2 linked regions of the Coturnix japonica genome follow. The protein of the gene in region 2 purifies or fractionates together with the protein of the main gene of each other region. This does not show direct contact. Links are inferred from orthologs where the notes say so. Each region holds a gene or a part of one and is shown on either strand. Other genes may lie near its edges. The genes, in order: RAD18 and SHPRH.

The links.
Region 1: the proteins of SHPRH (region 2) and RAD18 purify together in Homo sapiens (affinity purification with western blotting; 3 studies listed by BioGRID and IntAct, with this or other methods). This does not show direct contact. The link is inferred for Coturnix japonica from reciprocal best matches to the Homo sapiens genes SHPRH and RAD18.

Annotation. Positions count from the first base shown.
Region 1 is NC_029527.1:16,628,504-16,638,650, forward strand, and holds part of RAD18 (E3 ubiquitin-protein ligase RAD18), read right to left. Parts: intron 7,567-10,147; coding exon 7,407-7,566; intron 726-7,406; coding exon 666-725; intron 1-665. UniProt on the Homo sapiens protein: E3 ubiquitin-protein ligase involved in postreplication repair of UV-damaged DNA. Postreplication repair functions in gap-filling of a daughter strand on replication of damaged DNA.
Region 2 is NC_029518.1:41,934,462-41,945,275, forward strand, and holds the start of SHPRH (E3 ubiquitin-protein ligase SHPRH), read right to left. Parts: upstream 7,211-10,814; 5' UTR 7,103-7,210; intron 5,772-7,102; 5' UTR 5,740-5,771; coding exon 5,098-5,739; intron 4,631-5,097; coding exon 4,501-4,630; intron 4,492-4,500; exon of another isoform or gene 3,901-4,491; coding exon of another isoform or gene 3,819-3,900; intron 2,737-3,818; coding exon 2,518-2,736; intron 1,892-2,517; coding exon 1,813-1,891; intron 475-1,812; coding exon 324-474; intron 163-323; coding exon 57-162; intron 1-56. UniProt on the Homo sapiens protein: E3 ubiquitin-protein ligase involved in DNA repair.

The sequences.
Region 1 (10,147 bases), on a different chromosome or scaffold from region 2:
CTACTATAAATCTCACTATACCTGCACACTTTCAGCATCCCCAGATAGCGCAATATTTGCACCCCACCTTCATGTATTTCACTGTGTTACTTCAGGAATCGTTGTCTGGTTTTGCAGTATTTCTTTATAAAGCACCTTGCACAGCTAGATACAAACTTTAAATCGTACCAATAACAGAAAGGGATTTTTGTTCTTTGAAAAGACAAACTTAAGATTTGAGAAACAAGAACGTGCTCTTCTCTCTCCCTTAACAGATGTCAACCTAAACAGATGTTGCAATTTCAGGATGTTCAACTAGACATAGAGATGACAACAACACAACATTAAATACAATAGAAAATTAGGTTCTCTTGTTTTCCCATAAAAATCAGTCTGTGTTTGGTTTTTTGTTTGCTTTTTGTTTAACTATACACCCACACTTAAGCACACTTTGGAACAATGATTTGTAATCAGTCATTTGGGGATTCTAGGAGCATCTATGCATTATTTTCCAGCAAATCAATAACACCATAGAAATTTTGTCTCCAATAACTGTGGAAGCTCTCACTGAACCTGACTTTTTAAGTAGCATCTGTCTCCCTTGCAGAAAATGTACAGGATTCCACAACCCAGAAGAGACCTGAAATCAGCATCAAGTATTTTACCACCCATCTATTTCTACCCACCTGTCAGAGGACACCGAACAAACCTCAGCTTCCAGATCTCTCAAGATGTCTGAACTGGAACTGAAAGGAAAAGCAAAACATGTCAATTATTTTAGCAACGCTCACACCAAAAGTCTCTAAACAAAACAAAAGCCCAGAAGGGTCTTCCTTTGAGTTCCATCTTCCTTTGAGGAAATGAATAGATGCTGTGCAACCCCTATCCATGAAAAGGAGTTCTTCCCTCTTTCCCAGTTGGTCTCCCCCCATCTTCCATTCCCCCCTGGGGTCAGATGAGCAGCACAGGGACTGCAGCACCACAGACGGGAGAAAAACACCACCGGCACAGAGGAGTTCAGTTAAAAAAGGACAAATACACCCACAAAGCACTGCTGCCATACAGAGAACATGATTCCAAAACAAAATGGATTCTGAAGTTCTGTGTGCAATTTTAGAAACTCATCTGTGGTTCCCCAGGAATTTTTATGAACTGCTGAATAAATTTATCTAATTACAGCATTTCTCAACAGAACAGCTTTAATGTGGAGACGAAGGCAATTAAAATTAAAAGGAGTAACTGCACTTATAGGGAACAGTGTTTAATCTCTGCACCAATTACCAATCCCACCACTCACAGCACCTGGAGGAGTGAGCACAGCCCAAATCCCAGCACCAGACGTGGGTGCTTTGAGGGTATGTCAGGGAACCCCAGCACGCCCAGGGATTTCTTACTGCATTACTACACATGAAATGCTCAAAGGAAAAACCACAGGAAAGCACGCTGTAAAAACAATGGTGATGGGGTAAGCTGAGAAGTCTAGCAGGTTTATTTTTACTCTCAAAATGTGCACTGTCAAGAATTCATCTCCAGCACACAAGCTGGATGCCCAGGGAATGAGTTATCTTACTTCTGAATCCTGCCCTCTACTCCAGTTACATTGAAAGAAAAAGCAGTAGGAAGACATTAGCGTTTGGTTCCCTAAAATAGAAAAAGAACAGGTTTGATGACTGAACATCATGTACTTTATTGCCCTGAAAAATCTATTCTTATTATCATTAATCACCAACTGTTTGTCACAAGCGAAATAATAAAAGTGAGAAGATTTGGCTAGCACTCAGCACAATAATGCACATTCATAATTTGCATGCATATTTCTAAGTTTATGCCCACCAAACTATTTTAAAACCAGGCCCAAAAAGTGCTGGAGTTACTTACCACCTCAAAACGTGCCTGCATAAGAGAACTGGATACCAACACAAGAAAGGTCTGAGCCCTACACAAACCAAGTCAACTCCTGCACTTCCATTGTACGGAGAGATGAAGGACACTGCACCTGAGTGTACACACAGACCTCAGGGCTATGAGCTCCCCAGACATGGCCAAACTGCCCTTTGTTTCAGCATTCCTTCAAACACAGCCATCATTCCAAGGCAGTCACTCACTAAGATAGTTCCCTATATCTAGTCTGTGTTAAACATCAGCTTCTTCAACAAAGATCAAGCCACGTCTTGATGCTGAGCTGCTGTGATTACACACTTCATACTATTTTCCACGTGTGGGGAGAAAAAAACAACTCTAAATGGATAACTGCAAAACAACTATCAAAAAACCTTTTCCAGCTCTTTATTGAAATGCTGACTATTAAACCAAAAGGGATACTGACCAACTGAGTTCAAATTTTTAAACAATTTTGTTTTGTGGAAAGCTTCCAATATCTCCTTATTGTTGAACAACCTGCATTTAAACTGAAGAAAATGAACGAAATTGAAAAGAAACAGCTACCTCGATCTGCATGCTGGTTTTACACATTTCAGTGTACAGTTTTACTCGTTCCTTCGGATGCTTCTGCCTTCCCAGTACAGCCAGCAGGCACACAAAGGCCAGGCAAGGCACAACACATCTTCAGGCTTCATTTGGGCTCCAAATCCAAGACAATTACCTACAAGAAGTCTTTTGTCCTTCCCTTTAAGGAAGATTATTCTTCCTATCTTACATTGAGAATTCCAGATCAGTAAATTCACACAGCAAAACCAGTAAAGCTCTGAGATGTAAGTGCTTGTGGTGTGGAGGGCTGAGGAGCACAGTGAGGGCATGAAGGATTCCGCTGCAGCACCCACTGCTCCTGCAGGCTGAGGGTCAGCTTCCTCGGGGCACTTACAGGCAGTCAGGAGCGAACTGTTCCTTCCTCCATCATCAGCTGAATTTTACTCCCCCTCGCCCTTTGTTAGTGATGTTTCGGTTTTGTTTTGCTCCTTAAAAGATAAACACCACCATAAAAATAGAGAGAAGAAAGCTGACGTAAGTGTGAATAACATGTCTCATTCTAAAAATGAAAGGAGTAAACATCTCTCTGAACATGTTTGCTTTATGGCAAATTAAGTTCCCTCTTGGCTGCCCAACGAGCAGTGCCCTTTCATCAGCCCATCCTGCCCTGCACTCCGGCACATGCACAGAGCAGTTCTCGCTGTTAGCACCAAGTGAGACTCTCACTTCACCAGCACCATTTGAAGGCGAATACCCAGCCACAAGGAGTGCTTGCTCCCATTCCAGACGCCAGCCTGCCTGTGACAAACAGCCCTAGCATGCAGGGCATCAGGCAGACAAGGCAACATTGAGTGCTGGTCCCCTCACTTGTTTTCAGGGCTCAAAGGTGCCCAAAACCACAGCTGCAGCTGATGCTCTGGCACCTCTCCTATGCAGGCACTGTTCTCTGCACAAACCAGAGGCCAGCAGCTGGCCCCTTTGGAAATGGCCTCTCTAGGACTCCACCCACAGCCCCTGCAGCTCTGTGTCCATACACTACAGCTCACAGTTGTTGGAACAAAGGTATGAATTAATAGCAGAGAAGCAACATCATCCTTATGCAATGGACTCACATTTCAGCCAAAAAACAAGCAAACAAACAAACAAACAAACAAAAAAATCAAAGACAAAACGCTCCCATCTAACATTTGATGTGCACCACAGCAGCACAAGATTCATTAACTCAGAACTGAACTACAGAACTGAAAAGAAACAGCTACTGCCCCTGGTCTCACACACTGCCTCATGCCAGAGAAAACCAGCCCAGGACCAGGACAGCATCCTGGTTATCCCTATCTGCAGTGCCAGGAAGTCCCCCCACAGCTCTCCCGGACACCCTGCACTGCCAGCTCTGACAAAACCATGTCTGTGAGAAGCATCCAGGGGATGCTGCCATCCAGCACCCTACAGACTGCAACCAGAGCATACTATGCCCTCTCCAGCTCATGAACTAAAGCTCAACTTCTGCAAAGCACCTAAAGCCAAAGCAAGTGACCAGCTAAAAGCAGACCTTCTTCCTGATCAATAGCTGTCAAGCACAATGCCAAGAAGTCCCACTTAGTGCAAACGAGTGTCCTGGCTTGGGCAAGGAGCTCAGCTGGCAGTGCTGCAGTAGCTCCGTGTATCCCGGAGGCAGAGATTTACACAAGCTGCAGATACAGCACTTTTGAGTCAGTGTTTCAAAATTAAATCACCCTGTTTCACTGTACAATATAATACTGTTAGACGAGGCCAAAGATATATTGTCTGTGCTGCAAGTCCTCCACTCTGCTCCTCAAGAACTGATGCTCTCTTCTAACAGCAGTTTTAAACCGAAATAATTTGTTTAAATGACCGAATGTTATCTCAGTCTTATGGAGTACTTTTAATAAAATATTTCCTCTGTGTGGTTCATTAACTGGCTTATCACTGTCCCACCTACCTTCTTTTCTCATTTTTCTATTGTTCAAATTCTTGCATAAAGCTTGGCTTCAGTCCCAGAAAGTAAAAGAACACAGTGGGACTATTTATATGGAGCACTAAAGTTCCATGAAAGCTTTATATATGACTTCACAGCTTTGAAAAAATATCCTTTAAAAGTCAGGGCTTTGTCCCGCTGTTTATCTATTACGAGCATTTTGCCTCGTTGGTGGGATCATCAATTTCTGAAAAGACCAAACACGTCTGGATCGATGCTGCCCTCCCTACATGTTTTACCTCTTCTCCAGCAGGCATAGAGTTCTCCTGTCCTCATGTAGAGCAGTGACTTCTGAATAACATCAGCACTGTCATGAGTACAACAGATGTATGGATGTACTGTAGGTCCAACTGCTCCCTTAGTTGTATAAAATAGAAGGTTTATTGGTATTGGATTGAAAAGGGGTACAAGTTCTTGTGAAGGACAGCACGTAGGAATCACCAAATCACTTTCAGTGTAGTTAACAGAACAAAGAATTCAGCTCTCTGCCTTTGTGACTGGCTGTATTCCATTTGCTGCTCAAAATCCAAATTTTCTTTTGATGCATCACAGCATCAGGACTCCATATAAAAGTGTTCTCTACGTGCTTAAAAGTACAGCACGCACATTGAGACTCTCAAGTATATTTCAAGTTTTGACATTTCAATGTGAAATAAGATCCCCCTTGTCAGAGGATATCCTCTTATTATAAGAAAATGTAAGTCTCCGAAAATCGTATCTTGATGCAAAAGCACAATGCTATGGACCACCCCACTGTAAATCATTCTTTGTTTTCACGACACTTCAGAGAACATTAACTCCATGGCAGCCAGAGAGCGACACAACATATAAAAAATACACAAAAAAAAAAAACCCAGCACCACTGCAGTGAACTTCCTGACCAACACAGTCGCTAACTTGTAAGGTTACGCAAACTGCACTAAACTTAAACAAATATAAACATGCTGCATGTACAAAGCAGAGAGCATCTACAGAGCAAGAAAGCAAAGAGAAAAGTCCCAGAGAGATTCTGAAAAAGCAGTTCTGTGCTACAGAATTTGAAGTGAATAAGCCACAAAAAGTGTGTCTGTTGGCTTACGTTTGTTTTTTTTTTAAAGAGTTCCAAATATCTGAGACATACAGACTGGTCTTTGCAGCTGTGAGATTCTATATTTGAGTCAAGAAATCTATGGAAATACTTAATTTGGAGAGAGTGAATACATGCAAAGAAGTAACAAACAGCTTCGTTCTGAGCCAGACATGACGCAAACAAACATGTGCTTTCCAACAGTATCTGCCAGCTTGCTTCGTGAAAGCACATTCAAACCATCAGTAGCAGCTACATGCTGATACCCTACAGCAAACTGCCTCTTCAACACACTTTCATCCAGACTTGAGAATAATAAACATAAGTCTGCAGACACAGAAAGGTACAGAATGAGAATGTAACTGTGATGCCAAAGGCCACAGGAGGGTCACTCAGGGTATTATTTATATACCTAGTTGGCAGAGGAGCAGATTTAATGATTCCTTGGATGAGCCAATGAAAGGAAAACTTTCTCACTCTGTCAATTGAAAATTCGAGATCTTCCAGGGTGTTTAATGCTAAAAGGAGAGCGTGCAGTCAAAAAAGAAAAAATAAATTTAAAAAAAAAGGAAAAAAAGAGTGAAACAAGAACAGGAATATCTCATTCAAGTTCTGGATAAGAAATCACCTGGAGGGCATTTATTTTGTGCAGCTGCTATCACCAGAGCCCCAGGGACAGGTGCCTTGCAGACACAGGGGGGAGGAAGCAGCTCCATGTGCCATCTGCACACATGTCCAATATGACACCTGAAACTGGAGAGCTTCTGCCTGGGCTCCCATCTACTTTGCTACACAACCAAAGCACAGACCCAGGCACCACACAGCTCCCAGCAGCACCTGCCAGCAGCACAACAGTCAGTGCCAAAGCTGCCAGTTGCAAAGTTGAGGTTTTAGCACATGAAAACAGCCTGAGGAACAAGGCACCACATCAGCTCCTTCCTTCCAAGTAAGGGTCCAGGAGTTGCTCCTCCAGGCCAAGCCATCCTCAGAACAGGTCATGCATAGAGCACCTCCAGGAAGCTCCTGCACCCAAACAGCACAGGCATGGAGATGCTCTCAGGGTGCCAGTCCTGCCAGCACAAGGCTCAATTCTCTGGTGCACCAAACAGGCCAGGATGTGTACCAGAAAACTAGTTATCCCACTCAACCACTTTCCCTTTCCCTCTAGAAGCTGAGCCTACAACACCCAGTACTGAAAAAGACGTTTATCTTAGCATGAATCATCTTCAACAATCGATAGAGCAGTACCTAGCAAATTGTGATCTATGAAGCATGTGTTTTCAACAGACACAAACTCCATCTTCAAAAACTATGCAGGTAGATCTTGAAGCAGTAGAAGCTGAGGCTCTTTTCAATAACACCAGCACTGAAGTACCAAAACATTTATAAAACCTTCCTCGATTCTTCATTTCCTGTGACCAAATAAAGCCACTTCAGTAAGCAAAACTAAATGAATTAAGAAGGAAAAGTAAATGGATGTCAGGACTTCAAGGTTCAATGACATTCTATCCCTGCCTGAAAGTAATGGGTCATTTAAATTCTATTTCTCATAGCAACACTCGGCTCCAAGAACCATTAAAAGATTTAGGCAATATCAATTTTTGTTTGAAGATTTATTTAAAGAGATGATGCAGTAAGAGAAACATCAGACATTCTCCTGGTCCCACAGCCATTTCACTCACTTTTCTGTACAAAAAGGAACATTTCTACTACAGTGCTTCTATCAACCCATTACTAAGCTATTAAGAGAATCTGAATGCATCCTGCAAGCAGCTGAACAGACAGAAACGTGGAAGAGAAGGAATGAATAACCACAGCTGAGAATCACCTCCTACAACGCAGAGTATAAATACAAATGGCCCAGTATCCATGCCAAAGTTTCTTCACTTTGGTCTAATGGAGTAATGAGAACAGACTAACTAGACTAACCGTGCTAACCTGCTCGATGATCCGGATGAGACTGAGGATGCAAGAGAGACCGAGCCCTGGCCTTCCTCTGAGGAATGAGGGTCACTTCTTTTGCCATCAGGAGATCCTGGTTTGAGTTCCTGGGCTTCTCCAAGGACTGAAGCCGAATGATGCTCTTCAAGATCTTCCCCTATCAAGAAAAACAATATCACTTATTTTTTTGCTGCCTGAAGACAGACTTTAAGAGAAACAAAAGGTGTAAAGCATTTGTATACTGACACCTCATTCCTACTCACTTCCCAAACTCTCACAGCTTCAAAAGGTTTTTTTTTTTTGTTTTTCATGTTGTTTTTTTGTTTTTTTTTTAAACTACAGCAGAAAAAGAGCCAACAGCAACAAAAAAGCGGAAACAACAACAAACAATCCCTAAGAACCAGAGCCTGAAACAGAAATATTCCCTTGTTATGAGTCTCAAATAGAAACAAGGAGAGAAATAAAGGGTAAGGTTATTTGTCACATTTCAGAAATTAGCAAACACTTAATGAGACAGCTCCATCCTCCGGTTCTTGCAGCCAATTCACTTCACTCATTGCATAAGACATCTTGATAGCTTCAGTTTCACAGATCGAGATAATAGGCTTGTTTTCAATAAAAGAAACATAATGATTTATTTTCTTTTGCATGCAAGAAAGATGATATGTCAGAATAGATCATCAGCATTTCCGTTCACTCTTATAGGAAAGAACATTTCTAGACAATGGAAACGAATTGTAAAGCCATCTATTATTTTCCTATCAAATATTTTCATCTATTAGAAGATGAACAGTTCTCTCAAGAGATGCCTCCTACATCACCACATAGGTAGTAAATATAGACTAGGAAGTATGATACAAAAAGAAAACTTGCTTTTATGCGCTGCCCACAAGTACTTTCAAATGAGTTATTTAAGCAGGAAGCTGCAAGGGATATTAAAGCCATACTGAGACTTGTTAATAATTCAAGGCAGTTCACAGAGGTGTTTTCTCTGCACCCACGCCTCCCAAATTATATTCCTGCTCAAAACACTTCCACTTTAGTACCTCTACAGGGATTTTTGACAGAACTGGCCAAACAGAACCATAGCCACAATGTGGAAAAGCTACACAATCTATGAATTGTGCTCGAGTTTGCCCTTTCCCCTATGCTAAAGGGCATATTTAATTGTCAGGAGCATATTTCTGTCGGTTGAAAACAACCAGCAGATTACAGTGAGTCAGCTGTCTAACTAATGCAGCATTACTGACATCAGGAGATTAAAAATAAAGGTCCAATACAATAACACAGCTCAAAATAGATGCATCAAAAGTATTTATCAATTTCTTACAGTACTTCCACTGAGCAGTGCAAAATCCTACATTCATCAGTTATAAAAACAAAAACAAAAAAATAATTAAATTTCCTGTCTAAGTTTGAAGATGTGAAATAAGATCACGTGAATTAAGAAGGGATGATTAAAACATTATGACAGAGCAAGATTTTGAGAGAGAAATAAGTTACATCCATTAATACTACAGTTAAAGGCAATGGGAGATATTAAGGTTTAAAAAATAATGTTTTAATTCTGCATAGTTCCAGGATCTACCATCTATCTCTTTCAGACTCTGAAGAAGTGGGTAAGGAATGCATACAAAGCCTTTGCTCTTCTTGGAAGTAACGTTTTCCAACAGCAAGTCATCAGACCAGTGCCGGCTTTCTTTCTTTCAAAGTTATAATCTCCAATTTAATAAAAAGGTACGTGCTGTTAATAACAAACATGGAAGAAGAAAAGGCCTGAGCCTTCCGTTCCTTCACCCGAAATCTTCATGCTTTCCTTGCTTTTCTCAGCAGCTTAATAAACAGCCAACTAGGTACATCTGTTCAGCACAAAATGAGAAACTAATTTCAAGGATTATTCGCATGCAAAATTTCAAAGACTACAGAAAGCACAAGAAGAGTAACAAATCTTTCAAAGATATGCCAGACCCAGATGAGGGCGTGTCATCTGCTTAAGCCAACCCAATACAGGATGATACGGCTCTTGCAAGTTACTTTCTGCCTGAGCACTCTTGGAAAAGCTGCATGGCTTTACTTAGGTTCTCAAAGCCTGCAGTTCAGGGCACAAGGAAAAAGAAACTCAGGAGCCAATCTCTCCACTGATGATAGCAAGAAATTAATATTTCAGTCTGTGATCCCATTATCTAGTAGCACATTGCTTCTGTCTCTGCTATAGAAGAGGGACACCACTGTAAGTTACATCAAATGAGTCAAGCTTCATCCTAGAGATTCCTTACCTTTTACCTTTCATATGGAAAAGATTGGGCATTGCATCAAGATCTGCATGAAATGATAAGGATAGAATTCATACTACTTCACTGACATTTCATTTCTTTTTATTCTCTGCTGGAGGTGACAGCACAGGAGACAGCCTCATACCAGAGAGGAACACAGCTCAACTCAGGCAGCACAGAGATGTGTGAGGGCTGCTACAAAATGATCTGCCATATTTCCCCAAGGAATACAGACAGCAGCACATCCAATTCTGGCCGATGGAATGCTCTTTGAAATTCAGCATCCTGAATACACCTTAATTCCACAAATATTAGCCCAATGACTGCTTTTCTGAATCACACATCCAAAACTGACCGCATGCTGCCACAGCAAACAATGCCATAAAACAAATGAGACTGAATAAGACTACAGGGAACAAGTTAAAAGCACATGGAGGTGTTTCTCTGATGCGGGCAGTGAGGACA
Region 2 (10,814 bases):
CAATGGCCATGAATAATGCCAAGTGCAAAATGTAATAAGTCATGAAAAATACTTACTGGGATATTGTATTTTTTCCTTCAATTTAAGTTCCATTTCCCCTGTTTTTTTCTTTTTACTTCCTTGTGAAGGTTGAGGTGGAACAAAGAAATTCACAAGCTTGCCCTAATGCAGACAACAGCAGACTGTTATTGGTTCACGTCTTTTCACAGTAATTCCAATCTCAAGCAGAAAACAATGAACACAAGAGAAAAAAAAACAACCCAAAATTTCACTAATTCTGAAAAGTATTTTCTTTGTAATAAACACTCCCACAGTTTTCTCACCTCAGGTAATGTTAAATCATCTTGTTTAACGTCTTGTCGGGTATGAGTCAGAATAAGAGCCAACACTTCTACTGTTTTTCCAAGACCCATCTCATCTGCCAAAATACCTCCAGGCCACTGAGGTCCAGCGAATGGATATTCGCGGATAACACTGAAATTCAAGTATATTCCCAAGTGAAAAATCAGCAACAGAATGGTGTGACAGAAGCATGTTTTGAGACAAACACACAGTACAGCTTCAGTAAAGTGAAGTCACTAATAAATGATGCCACTCCTTGAAAAGCTGAGCTGATAAGAGCTAGCAAGCTTTTTGGATCTTCACACCTAATAGAGATGAATGCATATGCCATGTCTTTTTGCATTTTTCCCTCTGAACAGGCCTAACCATGATAAATTTAGTATATTATAGCACTAGTCTCTCCCTCTCTCTATGTTTATATTTACTTAAAAACCAAAAATTTACTGCAACAGCAAAAAAGCAAACTAGCAAGACTCTTTTCTAACCAAAGTAAAAGAGCTAACATGTAGGTTGCTCCAAAGGTAATGCCTCCTATTTGATTCCATGGAAAATGTAACCAATACAAAGAACACAATTACAGTATTTGATAGTGGAAATTTTCAGCCATAAACACTTTTTCAGCACTGTCACAACCCCACATTTCACCAGCCATGAAAAAGAACTTGCATGCAGCAGTTGCAAAAATCTGCACCAGCAAACCCACCACCTTACTGTGCTGACATCCACTGTTTGGCCTCCATTAGTGTCCAGCAAGCATCAATGAATGTCAATGGATGCAAGTTTTTCTGCACTGAGGAATTTAGTTCCATGCTTCATCTGCACTTCTGTGTCAGACACCATGTTGGCCAGACTGCCCCCTCTACTGCCATCTGTCACATGGCAACAACATTTAATCGAATGTTGGTGGGAAGTTCAACCTCTACAGTCACATAACGGGCCAACATAAAATAGGAAGCATTACTTTCAGAACAGCCCTCATAAATGCAACATCCAGCATTAATAGATGTTATCACACAGAATCACAGAATGACCTGGGTTGGAAGGGACCACAAGGATCATGAAGCTCCAAACCCCCTGCCTGGCAGGGCCACCAAACTTCCACATTTCCTAGATCATAAGGGCCAGGGCACCATCCAACCTGGCCTTAAACACCTCCAGGGATGGGGCATCCACAACGTCCTTGGGCAGCCTGTTCCAGGCATTATATTGCCTCCTTCTTTTAGCGTTTTGAAGCATCAAACATAAAGGCTGAAGACTCTAGCACTGTTTTCAAATTATAGCACTAATCTTGTAAATATACATCTGTACTGAAATTAAGACAAGCAGCTTTAAGAATTATGTCCTCAAGATTTACTTATGTGTTATATAAGCAAGTTTGCCTTTAAAAAATAATTAAATAATAATAATAATAAATAAATAAATATAAAATCCTTGGGGTGTTCTCAGAAATAGATAAGCACAAAAACATACCAGCCAGTAAAGGGATTATAGTAGATTTTTTCTCGATCCAGAGTGATGACTTCTCGCCATAAGAAATGCAGTGCATTTTCTATAGAGAAAGAGGTCATGTTACTATGACAAAGATTTCTCCGCAAACAGCACACTAATTAGAACCACTTAGCCATACAGTGACACTTAAACACAAAAGGCAGACATCTACCTTCACCACGCTTGGTGAGCAACAAGACCAAACAGCTGCAGCTCAAAGCAGGTTTATTTTCTCATCTACTGTACTACTGTATGGGAGACCGGTAATCACAGCGTGAACCACTGATTAATCAGCTGGGGCAAGTGTGGGGTCAGCTGCGGGAGCACAGGTAAGAGTAATGTAGCTGTGCTCCCAGGAGGGGTGGAGCTTGACTCCACCTCCTCTGAGACCTCATTTAAGGGCTGACCCTCACTGAGGCAGCATCTATTGGAGATCACTTGCTAGTGAAGATTGCCCTAGCTCCTTCAGCTGAAGTGTCATTATTGGTGAGTTCCTCTTTTACTTATATCTTCTGTACATTTGTTCCCACCCTTGTAGTTACCACCTATACAACTACCCAACAGCTTTTATAAAAATGGTAATAAAACAATTAAGAAAACTTCTAATGAAATAGCAATAAGACATTCCACTAACAATGCAATGCCATTTTCCTTGACTATACAAGTTTTCAAGTCCCATATACTTGCCACCACCTGGAGTGCTTGTGAAGTTCTCTCGGTGAAGCATCCAATTCACAGCTTCACTTTGGTATGGCCTTAGAATGGGAATTAAGGCAGGATGCTGCACATCCTCTCTCAGTAGTTGGACATCCTGCTGGTGTGTATGCCTTACAAAGTCATAAAGCTCTTCAATATTTTGCCGCTCTAGCTCCATGTCAGATTCTTCCTCATCTTCCTCCAACACATCTGCATACACAATAAATGCATTATCATTCACTTTTGGTCAACATTTCAGTAAGTTTTGCTGCAGCTTATCTAAATAGGAAATGAAAGCAAAACCTCTTCTAAATATAAGTCATGATTACACCTGACTAAGCTACCAGCAGTTTCCTAAAAGCTAATGTTAACACACTATAGCCATGACAGAGACATACATAACTGGTAAAGCTCTTCCCTTAAGCACCCCAGGGAGGTGGTTGAGTCACCATCCCTAGACGTGTTTAAAAACCATTCAGATGTGGTGCTCAGGGACATGATTTAGAAGAAGGTTGATAGAGTTAGGGTAGTATGGTTAGCTTGTGGTTGGACTTGATCATCTTTAAGGTCTTTTCCAACCTGAGCAATTCTATGATTCTATTCTATTCTTAGAATTCAGGAATAGCATGACTAAGTCTAATTTTACAAGCACCTTCTCCTAAACATTTTTACCTCATACGGGATCACAAATAACATACATTTCAGATTAAATCACATTTCAGATTAAATCATAGAGTTACTCAGATTGGAAAAGACCTCAAATATCATCAAGTCCATCAAGCAGTACCCTAAATGGGTTGGTCTTCTTAGAGAAAGAGAGGGGGGAAAATAACTGTGGGCAAAAGATTTGTACATTTTTCAAGAAATAAGCCCTTTCTTGATAAGAGAACATATCAAAAACATCAAGAAAAATCTACTCAATCAGCCTAAGTGTTACTTTTAAATTATTTGTCTGATCAAAAAAATGGCAACAGTGTGACAACATGCGAGTCTTACCCTTTGCATCACTGTAAGAAATCCAACAAATCATACTTCAGGAATTACAATCTAGCTTCAAGAGATGTACATCTAGAAGACTTAGAAAGGTCTTGTATTTCAAACAAAATCTGCATGTATGGGCATATGCAGAACTTCAGCACCGTAGAACAAATATTCATGAAAAAATTCAAGGGTCAAAATTTTAGGAAACTGAAGTAAGACCAAGCAACAAACGACTTAATGGACAAGTTCCAACTATGTTTTAGGTCTCAAATAAAAGAAATGGTACCAGTAAAACAGCTTTTAGTACTTACCCAGGAACAGCTGTACAACTCTGCAGTTCAAGGAAAGATACAAAGCCTCTCTAGAACTGGAGAGAAACCCACTGTGTAACATTCTTCTCAGAAAACTAAAATTAAACCATCTACAAGGACATGAACAGGATGGGTACACTGAGGAAAATAAGTACTTAAAAACAAAATGTAGGGATAAGGGCAGACATCTCCTTCATTTGTGTGTAAATCTATAATGCAATTTTCATTATAACGACTTCAGAATACAACTCCAACAAAAGTTTTGCCGCCAGAGTTGTTGTATTGGGCACTGACCTAGGAACAAATGGTTAAGGAGTTTAATTCCTCTCTTTTTTAAAACAGCTCCTATGTAACTTGGATGAGTCACCCTAAATCTAGTCAAACAATTCATAAGAATTAGTGAAAGTTACATTTACTCCCCAGACAGTAAGGTCTCAAGCTTCTATATGCCTCAGTGCCTTATGTGCAGAGAAGAAATGTTATTATGTATAACCATAAGTTAATTAATATATGATTAATGACCAGATATTAGCACAGGAAGACTAACAGTGAACAATATTACTAAAAACACAGCTGCTCTAGAGGACAGGAACAACTTAAAAACGTCCCTTACATTTACAATTATTAAAGTGACAGTTTTATACTTCAAATTATTCATCAACATTCAATAAAATCACATTACCTGGAATTATAAAACTATAGAACTTTTCCATGAGTTTTTGAACTAGCTGATTAGCTTTTTTGGGTCTTCCACCTCCATCACTGAGAAACTCTGGTTTACTTAGCCCTGCTTCCAGAAGGTAGATTCCAACCTAAGAAATGGTTATAAAATTAATCATTTAATAAATTAGCTGGACACCAAGAATATTATAAATAGAAGAACATGAAAATAATAGTGCTAACCTTAACTACCACATTGTCAAAATTAGCAGAAGCAAATAGGTACAATGAACTGACCAAACTAGCCTTGTGAAAGATACAAAATATCATAGCCAAAAGTTCCCTTGATTCCTTAAGTAATACATAAGTAGGAGTGCAACAGTAAAAGGTAGTTTTAGGGGAACAAAAAAAAAAAAAAAGACACATGAAAAACATCTGCAAAAGGATGTAGAAACCATATATCTCATCACATTATAAAAATACAATAGCTGCCAGACTTGTTAGTGGCTTTACTTTTATGTGTGTGTGTGTGTGTGTGCATGTGTGTACGCATATACGTATATGGTATATGTATATATATATAGTTCCAACCAATAAAAATGAATATAAGAATCAATACCTTTAGAGCTTGACCCTCTCCAGGTCTTTGATAAAGTCCAATTATCTTTTTATTTTGCAACCACCTCAAGCCTTCCAATATTTCACCACCTAAAGCTGGTTCCACCAAAACAATTTGCTCGTAAGCATCAAGGCATTCTTTTGCTCCATTACTGTACTCTTCTTCGCTTCTTTTATGGACACAGACCAGCAGGTGATTGTCAGAGTCTCCTCTGATTAACGTAAAGCTCCTTTCATGGAATTCCTCACTTGCAATTTGCTCAGAAGGAAGATAAAAAGTAAGTTCTCCCAATAAAACTTTCCAGGACCCATCCGCACGGTATGGCGAGACTACAATATTTAGCTGTACTGACATGGGAGTCGAGGTGGAATTAGAGTCTTCACCATCATTAGCTGTCAAAAACTTCTCAGATTTTGAATGACTGTCAGCTTTTTGAATGAGATCTTCATCAATGCTATCATCATTTATTACAAAGAAGGATGCAGAAGAAGTGCTGGGACCTGGAACATCATCCCCAGTAGTCAATTCATCATCTAATGTTATCAACTCATTTCTCCGGTCCTCATGCATGTTCCAACAGAGCAGTTTCTTTCCCGCCTCATCTATCTTTGATGGAGGTGCACGCTTTCGACGACTACTCATTTTGTCGTTTTTCTCAGCGGTATTTTCAGTCTCTGTGAGATAAATTAATATTAGTCAGTGATAAGTACTGCAAAATCAAACACCCGCATTAAAAGTTCACTGTGCAGGAACTGCTAAACTCTTTAGTACACTGTTTTACAGAGCATCTCCTGTTCCTACACAAAAAGAAACTGGACACCAAGCACTTTCTTCACAGTCTGTTTCATTCTGCCAGACAGTTACAGAGCAAGATCAACAAGAATGCTGCATTTCAAAGCTGTTACTGAGACTCTTGTGGGACAGATATAAAAACAGAAGCACTGGAATCTCTCAATGGTAGGGGTGGTGGGAGACAGTAAAAGTGACATCATAAACAAGCAGGCAGGGTGAACAGGAGATTTGGAGGCGGGAGTGGGGAGAAGGCACATATTTTTCCTTTTCCTTCAAAAATTACATGGGAAGTACACTTGAAGCAAACTCAGCAGAGGGCTTTGTCTCCAGCCTATAGTTTAGAGCCCAAATGCTCAAATTCTGTCCTTAGAAATCCTTAATGGCATTCCTAGAAGTATCAAAGACTCGACCTCCCCATAAACCTGTACATCTTGAGACCTGAATATACAAATTGCTTGCAGCACAGCACTTACTTATTCCACATGCATTTCAGTGGGACCAATAAGCAAAGTAAACACATATCCTTACTGATTCTGACTAACCACAAAGTTAAATCCAGGTACTCCTCCAACTTGGGCACTAAACACATTTTTTAAACACACTTTCTTCAACAGTAAAGATAGAAAAATACTTAAGATATTCATGCCAACTCAACTTCTGCATATGACTGTAAATAAAACAGGGACACAACTGCTGATGAAGCATTGGATGATGCGGATCTAACCTACTAACTCCAGTATTCCATACTCTAACGTTACAGGGTAATCCCAAGAAAAACAAACAAACCACCTGACTTTTGACAAACCTATAAAAACCAAACATTCGTCGTTTGAAATAGAGGGTTTCCTTATGAGCTACTTCAACAATTGCTGCGTCTGAATTTCAAACGTAGGAGAATTAAGGTTAGAAAACACCTCATGTTTTTCCATCATAGCACTCAGGCGCGACGAGAGAGTTGCTGACACTTAGAAATCAAGCCCCAAGAGGTAACATCTATCAGAACCGAAGCAGGAAGATTCCAGCCATCAGTGCGGCTCCTTCACACCGGATATTCCCCAGATGGTCCGGCCCCCCCCGCCCTCAGAGCCCAATAGGCCCGTTCCCTAGAGGCCGCCAGGAGGGCCCCCCGCCGGGCGCTACGCGAAGCCAGGCGGACTTTTCCCACAGCGGGGACTCGGAAGGGCCCCCGGAGCGCAGCCACCAACCAACGCACCGCAGGGTGAGGCGGCGTTCCGCCCTCTCGCGAAGCTCCTTCCCCGCTCACAGCAGGGCCGTGCGACCAACGTCCGGCACAGGAAGACCGGGGAGGGGAGGGGAAAGGGGAGGAACAAAAGGTACTGTCTGCCTTCACCCCGTCGGTTTCGTCTCCCGCGAAGGGGGAGGAGAAAGGGGAGGAGGGGAGGGACGCTCCAGCCTACAGTGAGGTAGGAACGACCCCGAACGGGGGGGAGGTGGGCACGGCCTGCCGGGCAACCAATGGAATCCGCTGACGGTGACAGCTCGGCCCGCTTCGCACACGGACGTAGCCGGCAGCGTGATAGCGCCGAGGCTGAGCAAGCGCAGTCGGCCCCCGCTGGGTAAAGGGGCGGGGAGTGTGGTGTTTGCCCACAGAGGGGCGGGGACGAGGATGAGGCCTGCGGGGCGGAGTGCGCAGGCTTACGGGGGAGGGAGCATTGCTAATGGGGCTGATAGATTTTCCTTAAGTGGTTGTTATTATTTCTGCAGGAACTAGGAGCATGTTCATCTTCTTCTGAAATAAGCAGATCCACGCGTGTGCTTGTGAGGGCTGTAAATAAAGACATTGGAAAGTCATTTAAAATCAGAGCTTCTTTTCCTTTTATTAGCTGCTCGGCCCATTTGCTAGTCTACAAATGAAGCCAACTGGATTGTTTTTGTGGCTGGTTCTCCACTGTTCCCAGCCGTAGTGCTCCTGTGCTGCCCAGCCCTGGGTAGGCAGCACAGAAGGAGCATTTGGGATGCTTGCACCCTTGTGGCAGCAGGTTGACTGCTTTATTCCCCTGTGCATGGGTTGCTGTGTGGCCACTAGATGCTCCTGCATGAAAACTAGCTTTGAAATCATCACTTAATCACATTTTACAACTGTAAATTGACAGTGAAATGGGCAGCTACTTCATACTCCTCATTATACGTTTGTAACCAGAGTAAGATAGCAAGGGAGACAAAGAGGAAATAACCTGCTGGGAACATTACTTCTAACAGCTGAAAATAGAGATGTCAGAGCTGCCTGTGCTTCTGTCAGGGCAGGGCCTGCAGCCCACCTTGTCCCCCCCCACTCACCAGCAGTATGGCACCAGGGGGCTGGGGTGGGCTGAGGCCTTGGCATGGGCTTGCAGTGGGGCAGGGCTGTGGGCAGCTGTAGCCCAGCCCTGCTGTCACCTTGATGGGGACAAGAATTAGTGGCCGCAGTCTGATGTGGGGGTTCTGTTAGTCTGAAAAGTTGAAAGTTTGGATAATTACAAGTGCAACTCACCACAGTACCCATGTACAGGGCTGTAGCCCAGACCTGTGAATAATGAGTGTGAACCTGCCTTCACATGGGGCCTGGGCATTGCCACACACATTGTTGGCTCAGAGTTGCCTTGGGAGCCTTTCTGTCTTTTCATGACCAAAAGGTCTCATTAGATGATCTTTTTTAGTTTTTACTTTTAAATGGAGGGCTTGGTCTTCTGGATGTGCCTCTTTGGGAGTTAGCTGCTGACTCAGTAAGTGAGAGAACGAGCAATTACCACTCTATGCTTCCTTAGGAATTTCTGAAGCTGCCATGTTTCACTCCCACATCCTGGCAAGCAGCCATATGCCTGGATAGACTGTTCCCACCAAGGGATGACACCCAGGATCACACTTTAAGTTGTTAACATCAGGTTTTCCAGTTCTTAAGTGGTTCTCTTCAGTGAAAGGAGCTCAAGCAGTTAGAGAACTGCTCCCTTAATGGCTACTGAAGTGCATGGGCCACAGAAGTGTTGTACTGTCAGTCTGGGACTGGGGAGATTTCCTCAGACCTGAGACTCCTCATACAAGGTTTCTGCACCTGCTGCTGGCATGAGAGACTGGGACCCACTGTGGGTGCTGCTCGTCCTCCTCCACTTGATGAAATCTGGATTACACCAGCGCTGGGAAATGGGAAAGAGAAGGGAAACCTTCCAGATGGAATAAACCCTCTTTTCTTTAGCCCCTAACCAAAGGTACGTGCGAATACATGAAATATATAATTTATTCAGTTTACTGTGGATCATTTGCCCTTTTATTTTGAGTTTGGTTGGCTCCGAAGTTTTGTCTCTGATTTAGCATTAGTAGTATCGTGCTACCTGACTGTCTAGTTGTTGAGATTAGAAACCAGAGGTTACTCCAGGTCTGTACCCTTATAAAGACAATGCAGAGGCATTCACAACAAGGAGGGGCAAAATATGTTTCAGGATACTTCTCATGCTGAAGGTCAGTCCTGCTTAAATGCAAACTGGCTGCATCTCCTTCTTAAAGGCTTCAGGTACAATATAGGCTGTGGCACTTGGCCAGGAACTGGCCTGTATCCACTGGCTTGTCTGATAGAGACTATTTGTGTGCAGCCTAAAGGGCTACCTGTAAGGATCCATAACTGCTGTCAAATCTAATCCTAAGGCTAGTAACAGGAAAGTGTTATTAATATCTACAACTAGCTATAAAGCTAACAATGAACACTGCTATGCCTTATGCTATTATAAATCTGCAAAGCCTTCTTGAACATGATGGATCTATCCTGCCAACTCATAGTTTTGCAATTCAGGATTTTCAGCCATCCAAAAGCTCTTTGTTAAGTTAATTTTTTTTAATTTCTGAAGGAACTGTAAACTTTTGGCATGGGCTTCTCTTCTGCATCCAGCAGGTGATGAATCATCCAGAGAAATTTTCCTAGTCTCCTTCATACTGAAAAACCCAATAAAGATTCTAGCAGTATCCATTTACCTAGCCCTTACTCTAGCTCTCCCAGGACATGATGACCATCAAAACTTAAAATCCTTCCCACAAAAAGTGCAAAGAATGCTTTTTTCACTTAGATTTCTCTGACAGAAATATATGGCAGCACAAACAGTAGCAGACAGAAATGCTTAAACCAAAAGATCACACCAGATTCTCTGTAAGAATTTTCTTTAGGAAAAAAAAAAATAAGAAAAAATAAGCCACGCACAAAAATCACAGATTGCAGTCAAGTCAGTCACCCATTATTAGAAACTCCTCAAACAGCATACACTTTAAGAATCCATGTAGAAATAGCAGACAACAATCTGTGCTTCAGCAGGCTTTGTTCACAGGCTAACAGCTGTGAATCTCTTAGTTCTCATCATTTAATTAACTGTTGTATTTCTCTATTATGCATTTCTTCTCCAGGCTTTGTATTTGTGCTTTGGTTTGCTGGGCATTTTTTTTTGCGCTTTTTGGTTTTCTTTTGTTTGTTAATGATTGTGTTTTTTAAAGACTATAAATAAAAAGCACTTGTGAAAGTGAACTTCATTTATCACCTTGTCTGGGTGTCATCATAAAATTAGTAAGCAAGAGTAACCTTTCTGCTTTCAAAAAAGGGGAAAATACAGTGCGCCAAGAGGGTGCCTGTTATGCATTAGGATTTCTTCCAAAGTCTCTGTTTTTCTATCAATCCCATTCTGTAGGAAATAGCTTCACTCTCAGGATAAACGAGCTCTATTTTGAAATAAGGGTCAAGAACAAGTGGAAGAATGCCCATTTGTATTCAGCAACTAAGAACTAAGGATTCCAGTGATTAGTACCTAGTAATTTCCCTCCTGTTCTATAGAACATGAATGCATGAAAGAAGATAATTGCCATTTAATTTAATGAAATAGAAAGGAACAGTATGAAGAGAGGAAAACGTGACATAAAAGAAGACTGTGTGGGGTTTTTTGACCACATCTGAG